Linked DNA regions of Schizosaccharomyces pombe. The protein of the gene in region 2 interacts with the protein of the main gene of each other region in a pairwise test. Each region holds a gene or a part of one and is shown on either strand. Other genes may lie near its edges.

What was found.
Region 1: the proteins of tti1 (region 2) and tti2 interact in a two-hybrid assay, tested with the Schizosaccharomyces pombe proteins (one study listed by BioGRID).

The regions. Positions count from the first base shown.
Region 1 is NC_003423.3:3,897,727-3,901,659, reverse strand, and holds tti2 (protein Tti2), read right to left. Parts: upstream 1,725-3,933; 5' UTR 1,614-1,724; coding exon 1,539-1,613; exon of another isoform or gene 1,495-1,538; coding exon 490-1,494; exon of another isoform or gene 442-489; coding exon 118-441; downstream 1-117. Other genes in the region: SPOM_SPBC1604.16C (G-patch type RNA-binding protein), read right to left, coding at 1-28; cmp7 (ESCRT III complex subunit), read right to left, coding at 2,111-2,779, 2,841-3,242, 3,286-3,564. UniProt on the Schizosaccharomyces pombe protein: Component of the tel2-tti1-tti2 (TTT) complex that stabilizes protein levels of the phosphatidylinositol 3-kinase-related protein kinase (PIKK) family proteins.
Region 2 is NC_003421.2:1,423,941-1,427,873, forward strand, and holds the start of tti1 (TTT co-chaperone complex, armadillo-type fold subunit Tti1), read right to left. Parts: upstream 1,928-3,933; 5' UTR 1,907-1,927; coding exon 1-1,906. Other genes in the region: SPOM_SPCC622.14 (GTPase-activating protein), read left to right, coding at 3,158-3,370, 3,692-3,769, 3,848-3,933. UniProt on the Schizosaccharomyces pombe protein: Component of the TORC1 and TORC2 complexes required for the regulation of the cellular respons to changes in available nutrients.

The DNA.
Region 1 (3,933 bases), on a different chromosome or scaffold from region 2:
ACAGCTCCATATTTCCTTTATTCTCCATTTTCCATCGTTTTTCGAATAACCATTGTTACCAATTTATCTAGGTTGAAGGTTGGTTAGTAATGAGGAGAGTCTTTCCTTATATGTACCTCAAAGTGGGATTTGCAGGGGTTCAAGCAGTGGCAATATTACATTGTAATCACCGAGTTGCTCAACAGTTATGTTCAATTTTATCAAAGTGAAGAGGTTTTGAAGCGCTTGTACAATTGCATTGTGATGCTCTTGTAAGTTACATCGCATATAATTTCTACTGCAAACCACTAGTGCCATTAATAACTCAACATGGTGTGCAGATATTCGATAACTGTAAATTTCCAATAGTTTTGTTAATATTTCTAAAAAAAAGGAGAGTGTCGATGGTATCTGTATGATTTGTGGGTTTTGTATTATACGACACAGTTCATCCAGAGTCAACTAAGTGCGATTAGTAAACTTTCAAATGTAACGAATTTAAATTATTACCGTTAGGTATGGTAAATAACTAACATTCATTTTGTCAGTTAAAACCATAATTTGAGAAAATGCGGCTTGAAGAATCAGGGGATAATCGAATGCAAACTGAAACACAGAATTAATACCGTTCAGCATAATAGAATTTAAATTTTCATTTTCTTCAGGATAAAGAGAAACTAGGGTTGCGAAGGAGGCATTTATAAGGGTAACACTCGTTTGAATTGTAAATCTTGGCGGTATGAAAGTATAGAATACGAGCAAATCGTCCTTCAAAATTTTTAGAATTCCAGTATATAAAAGAAATTCTCTTTCCGTAATTTTTAACAATCTGTTGACTAGCTCAATTCCTTGTAGTTTAATGTTTGGAGATAAATCATTCAATATTCGGAGTACAGATGGAATGATTCTGTGCCAACATACTTCAATGCTAGAAGAACTTTGCTGATCAATTATCCAAAAAATAAGGTGAGAAATGAGATAATTTTTTGTTTTCCACTTTGGCTCAAGAAGTGCTTTACTTTGATCACTGTGAAATTTGTCTGGTGGTAATTCAAATGCAACCGGTCTACCTTGATCTGTCAACCGTTCTTCTCTATGAAAAAGATTTATTTGATACTTTTCTAGAAGATATAATAAGAATTTTTGTCTAGGAACAGCGCTGAGGATTGAAGTTGAGAGGAATTCTGACAAATTGCGTACAAGTCCATTCTCGATTCCACTTAATGATATTAAAATAGCTAGGATTTCCCAATTGATCTCTTTAACAACATTTTCTATAAACTGTTCTTGAAAAATGCTTAATATCCGGTGAGCGCGCACAACATACGCTTCTTTAATCACTACATCAATCGATTCAGGGTCTGGATGAGTTAATAATTTAATATAAAAAATTGTCGCCGTACCCAGTAAAAACCAACTTTCAGTAGGGCTAATGAACTCTAATAATGGCCTCAAATCTTGTTCATGAACCAACGAGTCCACCTCTACCACCAATTTGTCCAAAAAGTCTATTTGCTATATTTGGTTAAAATTTGAAAATAGTGAATTAAAAACGGTACTTTTTCAAGAGCTTCTTTTTCATTTTTTGATTGTAGAGTATGCAATCGCCTAGCTAGCTCTTTGTAATATTGCATAGATATTGCCAATTTAAACTTCTATTAGATAATTATTAAGTCTAATGTTTTATTATTTGTTTGATTTGTAAACAAAGAATATTAACAGAATTGTAATGTCACTTAGTTATTAGAGAACTTAAATTCTATGAAAAAAGTATTTCATGTTAAGCTATGGTCATACACTAATAATATAAACTTATAGAGTATGTGATATACTGTAAGTTTCTAAGTCGTTGCCAAGAAATCAATTTAATAAATTAACAATTTACTAGTTTTTAAAGGTATAAAAAGCAAAATTTTTAGTAACTAACATCAATTCATTACACAGGTACTTTACCTTATCGCTTTAGCTATATAAGTTCTATTGAGTATATAAGCATTATTGTTTTTTATAGTTATTACCAAGAAAAATGTTTTTATAGTATTCATTTATTCTTTAGTATGTGCATAAATTATTAGTAAACCAAACCATTTCCCGTGAATTTAAGTGATCGTTAAAAAAGGACGTATATAAATTATTGCTCAACCAGCTCAGCTTGAATCTTCTCCGGTTTCGAAGTCTTTTTATCCGAGTCAGTATTAGTAAGGGTAAAAGTATCAGATGGTGTTTTTAGAGAAACATTGCCTAATGTAGACACGATATCTTCAACCTTCTGTTCTTCAGCTACCAAATCCTGCCATTCTTTTTCAACGGCTTCATCCTCTAAATCAATGTTTTGAGGATTGTAAGTTTGAATAGTTGCATCAATCTCTTCCGAACGAGCCAGTGTATCATTTACGTTTTCTAAGACATCTTCCACTTTTTCAGTTCCACCCATTTGAGCTAAAATTGCGTCTAGAGCTTCAGAGCCAGAAGACATTGCAATAAGCAAAATTTTGTTGTCAACCGCATTATCAATATTAGAAATTATAGTATCTAATTGCAGACGCGAAGAAACTTTCCTTTCCAAATCTTTAGACAAAATCTTTTTTCGACGTAAATAAGTTATTGCTATTGTTTTCTCTCCCTTTTTAACTGCTTGGTTTAGCACTTGTGAAAGTTGCTCCAATTCCTCGTTTAAAAATTCTGATCTTTGGGCGATGGATGCCCTAGCCTGTATCAGATCTGCAACAGACCCATCAATAGACTTATCAATTGAAGCTAATTGAGCATCAATTTGGCTGTTGGGTAAAAACTTGATTATCTATTCTCGTTAAAAAAACGGTATCGACAAATAGCTGAGAAAACATATAATCTGAACTTACCTTAGAATCAAATATTAAAACATGTTTTTGATAGCACATCCAATTAAGAAGGCATTCCATCTCATCCTTGTTTAATTTTCCTTCTTCCCAGTATAAGCTTCCAAAAGTATCTTGAAAAAAGTCCCAAGTATAAATTGCACTCGTATAGCTGCTGCACCGTCGCATTGCTTCATTGTGTACAAGGCAAGCAAGTTTCTCAATATTTTTTCGAATTACATACTGCCCACTCGGGGATCTATTTGACAATATGGATGAGGCTTGATTTTGAAACCCAAGTTTCTGAAAACTCCACCGTAGAATTGAAAAAATAGAAAAACCGTCTTCTCTTACTAAATTTCCTTTTTTACAATCGTTCAAAAAGTCTTGCTTACGAAGCCAAACCCCTTGCTGGATCCAGTAAGCCTATATGCTTATTAGCTTCAAAAAAAATGCTTAATTCACGTACCGCAACAGCACCAAGGCTCAAAGGTCTACCTAAAGCAGGACTTGAAAACGCACTTTCAAAAGTCTCATCGAAAACTAAGATTATCCTAGAATTCAACTTCCCAGACCATGCGGATGTTTCAATTGCTTCTCTCCAAGTATTTACGTTTGCCAAAAATCCTTCAGGATTTTTTATAAACAGACTCGTAAAGTCAGAATACAGGCTTTTTAAACGAGTTTTTGTAAAAATTCCTTTATTAACAGAAAATTCCAAAGCATTGACTTTCTCCTTTTTTCCCATTCTGTCGTATATTCCTGAAGCTACCTGCGTGGTTTACTATATACAGTTTTCAAACAGAATTAATGGTATGAGGTGACTTGTCACTTGTACTTTTGTAATGTTACAAATTGCTAAATTTGGAGTTCTAATAAGGTGCTGATGATTTGTTTTCAAAAATTCAGACAATGAACAATTTATTCTAAAACTGATAAGATAGACAAGTTATAATAACATCAGCAATTTCGTATGAAGTTGACTAATGTAAAATCGCATATATCTAATATATGTTATATTGAGTATGATACTAAATTATAATTTTGATATAATAAATTATAATGCTAATGCTACATTTTAAATTGGAAATCCTAAGCTCCTTTATGCCAGCTCCTA
Region 2 (3,933 bases):
CAATATTTTCTCTAAGTAACTCTGCTGGCGTCGAGTAGTTGCAATTTGTCGCAATTGCTTGAATACATGCCTCTGCAAACGAAGATACATAAGGAGAAGCAAACGCCAAATGTTCAAGGAGAGGATAAAAATATGCCATTAATTTTGATCGAAACTTTACTCCTTGTAAAGAAGAAATCCAGCTAATGCTGTCAATAGCAATGCAAGAACGAACACACAAAAGATTATACTTTTCCTTTTTCTGCTTATCCTCCAACGATGCTTTCGTAAAGACATTTAATTGCGATAATTGTTGCAATACTTCGAATGAATATTGCTCTAATGAATCAATATACATTTCCAAACTGTCCACCGTTTCTACGTCACTTTTCAAAAGTACCATAAATGCCCAAAATGCACGAACCGAGTTTTCATTTGTTGCTGAGGTAGCCTTAGAAAGTAAGGACTGCATAACATATTTAACATTAGGTGCCTTTGCGAAGCTTGTAACAATCTCTTGTGTTGTTCTTTCCATCTCATTTCCACCAAAAAATTCACCATGGATGTACTCATTCGAAGTACTGGATGTTAAAAGCTTCTGCGAATTGGAATCAATTCCCGATGACTTTGGTACAAGTTGGCTGAGTATACCATCCAGTAAAGGCTCCATGAGCTGCAAAGTCTTAGGAAGATGACTGGATATACTTAAGAGACTTTTCAATCGGTTCAACTCCTCCAATTTATTATCTTCTGAAGCAAAAGTGGAAACACTAGACCATGTAGTAGACCAATCATTTAGGCATTCAGTTAATACTGATTCCATAGTAATATTGTTGAATGATTCAATGAGAGAAACGAGTTTGTTCATCCCATAGTCCCTTAATTTTGGATTTTCTTTTTTATTGATCAATTTTAGCATGCTCTCTAGTAAATGAATCCTACAATCTTTTAGTGAATCTAAACAATCTCTAAATAGGATAAAGCAAAAATCAAATAAAGCATCTTGTACATGTAAGTTTTGTGAAGAACGAAGGTGAAGAATTGCCTTGACGGCATTGCTTAATTGTTGGCAGGTAGCGCGTTTCCAAGACTTTGTACGCTTCGTTGGGCCAAAAAAATGAGAATTAGAAGAAGCATCTTTTTCATCTGGCAAATCTTTTGTGTTATCGTCACTAATAGCTTTCACCACTGTATCACCTAAAATATTCAAAGAGATACACACGTTTTTAAAATACTGACAGGTTCCATTTGGCGCCAGTCCCTTTGTCAATCCCGATACTATGCCAGGAAGAAAAGTAGTAAGAAATTCTGTTGGTAAGCGATATTGCTTTGGGCATATTAGCTTTTGGACGCAACACAATGAGGCAAACTGTAATCTCCGTGAGCTATTTTTATTTGGAATAATATCCAAAGCACTAGAAAGAGCTCTCGCAAAGAGAAGATACTGTCTTTTATCGTGAAAATTAGGCTTAAAATCTGTAATAACGTTCTCAAGCGTTTCGAAAGTAATTTCTCGAACACGAAAATCTTGTTCCACAGTTTCCGAAGGAGATTTCCATCCATCTGCTATATTAAGAAGCATCAATAATAGTTGCATCGTCAACATTTCATTATGAGCTTCCCTCCAACCATGCTTGTAAAGCAAATTCACGCACTGAATGGCATACTCCACTCCTGTACTTGGGACACGATACCAGGACTTTAGTACAGGTACAATTGGAAAAAATATGTAATCGCATAAATTTAGTGGTAAATCGGCGTCTGTATTGGTCAATGCTTTTTCCAGCCCAAAGTACGCATCCTTCAACGAGTTCTTTAACCCATTGGAGTCAACAGATGAAGTTTCAGAAGATAGAGGAAGAGAATAGAAGCTTAACTTTCGAAAAGGATCTCGAATTTGTGCGAAAATACTCTGTATATGAGACATGTAGAGAAACCATGAAGTTATAGAGATGGTAGGTCATATACAAGCAAACCATTTAAAAATGCATACTTTTGCGATTGGAAATGTATATGATATTACAGTATTCTCTAATAAATAATTCAATATTATTCAAATGATTTGAATATTTAATGTCGTGCTAAATTATAGCAAGTGTTTTGACTAGATGCACAGCCAATTCCCAGTCGGTTTTCGTGAGAAACATTGAAAATATTTAGCAAAATGAGTTGCAATGATTTGACTTTGTTCTTAAAAACTTGGAAAGATATATTGCAAAAAGCTGCAAGTTTTAGGGTTACATTCAAGTTCTTACTGATGACCATTACTTTGATCTCAACTAAAATTTTAAATTAAAGAGAGAATTTTTGAAGCTATGCAATTACAATAATAATAACTTCGTAGCCTTTCAGCCTTTTAGCGTATCTGTTTACATTGAATTAAAAACTCGATAGTATTATTTTATATTTTTTAATAAACATTTTAACGTGTGTGTCGAAAGACATATATATAGTATAAATAATTTGTAGCTCAAATTACTTTGCTATGCAGACTAAGACTGGTTTAATGTGTGCAATGGAAGTAGTGGATGTATTCACTCAAATTTATAAGGGTATAACCTTTTTACTAGTCTAGTTTTGTAGTTTCAAGCTTCTAGTCCTCTATAGTCCTTAAAAAAGTCGTTAAGTTCATAAAGACGATACAACTTAAGAGGTAGCCAACTCATAAGAGATTTTCTGCTACATACCTTTAACAAGCGAGGAACACAGTAATTTCTGAATTTCTATTTGTAGTCAAAAATCACTGAATTATCAGTTTGTTTCAAAAACGAGAGGATTGTTTAAACTAATTTGCATTTTCTTAAACCAAACTTATTGTAACTTGAATAATCTCTTTAATCTATTTATTTTGAAGGTCAATGAACTCTTAGACAGATATGAAAATTGCTCAAAATAATACCGTAAGCTTTCCAAGAAACTAGATGCTGGTATTTTAAACAGTATGGATCAAAAACAAGAAAAAGTTGAAACTCATAAATGCATTCAACTGCACGACATATTTATTTCCTTCATGTTTTGATTTTATATACTTGGAATACGTTTCACCAGATCTTTAACGTTTTCTTACGCACTTCCATAAAATCTCACACCATGGTGAGACATGAAAATAACGAAATTTCAAAGTCACTTAGAACAAACTACAATTAATGAGTTGGTTGTTTAAATAATCTAATAAAAAATGTCGTATAAATTAGACCAACTCACTCGTCTTCCTGAAAACAAGAAATGTTTTGATTGTGATGCTCCAAATCCACAATGGGCATCTTGTAATTTGGGAATCTTCATTTGTTTGGATTGCAGTGGACAGCATCGTGGTTTGGGAGTCGAAAAGAGCTTTGTCCGCAGTATTACCATGGACAATTGGAGTGAACGTCAAGTGAAGATGATGGAGGTAAGCATCAGGATTGATACGGGCTATTGGAGTTTGTTGGTTATTTTACCAAAAAAAAAACATATATATATAATAATTCATTTGGCTGAGAGGGTAGCGCTATTGATCTGCGAGTTTGCTTGCCGCTATTTCGAATTTTTTCCAAGTCATTTAGTGCCTTTTTTTGACAAGAATAATGTTTAATGTTAAAAACAAGTACATGACGCGCAATTGATTATCACCTGAAGTTATAAAATGCAAGCTCACTATAATTTCATCAATGACTTGAAACAACATATATAGCCCACATTTGTTGCATGCTCCTGACTAACTTCTATACAGGTTGGTGGAAATTCTAATGCTAAAACATTCTTGTCTACAGACCCGATGTTTTCTGCTGCCGGAAGTATTCGTGAAAAAGTATGATCTTTGAACCTTCTATATTTTTTCCAGTTTACCTTATTTTGATTTTATTCACATTGACTAACACATTTTAAGTACAATACCGACATTGCTGAGGACCTACGACAAAAAATTCGTGCCGAAGTAGATGGTGTCGAATGGGTCAAAGTTGATCGTCCTAA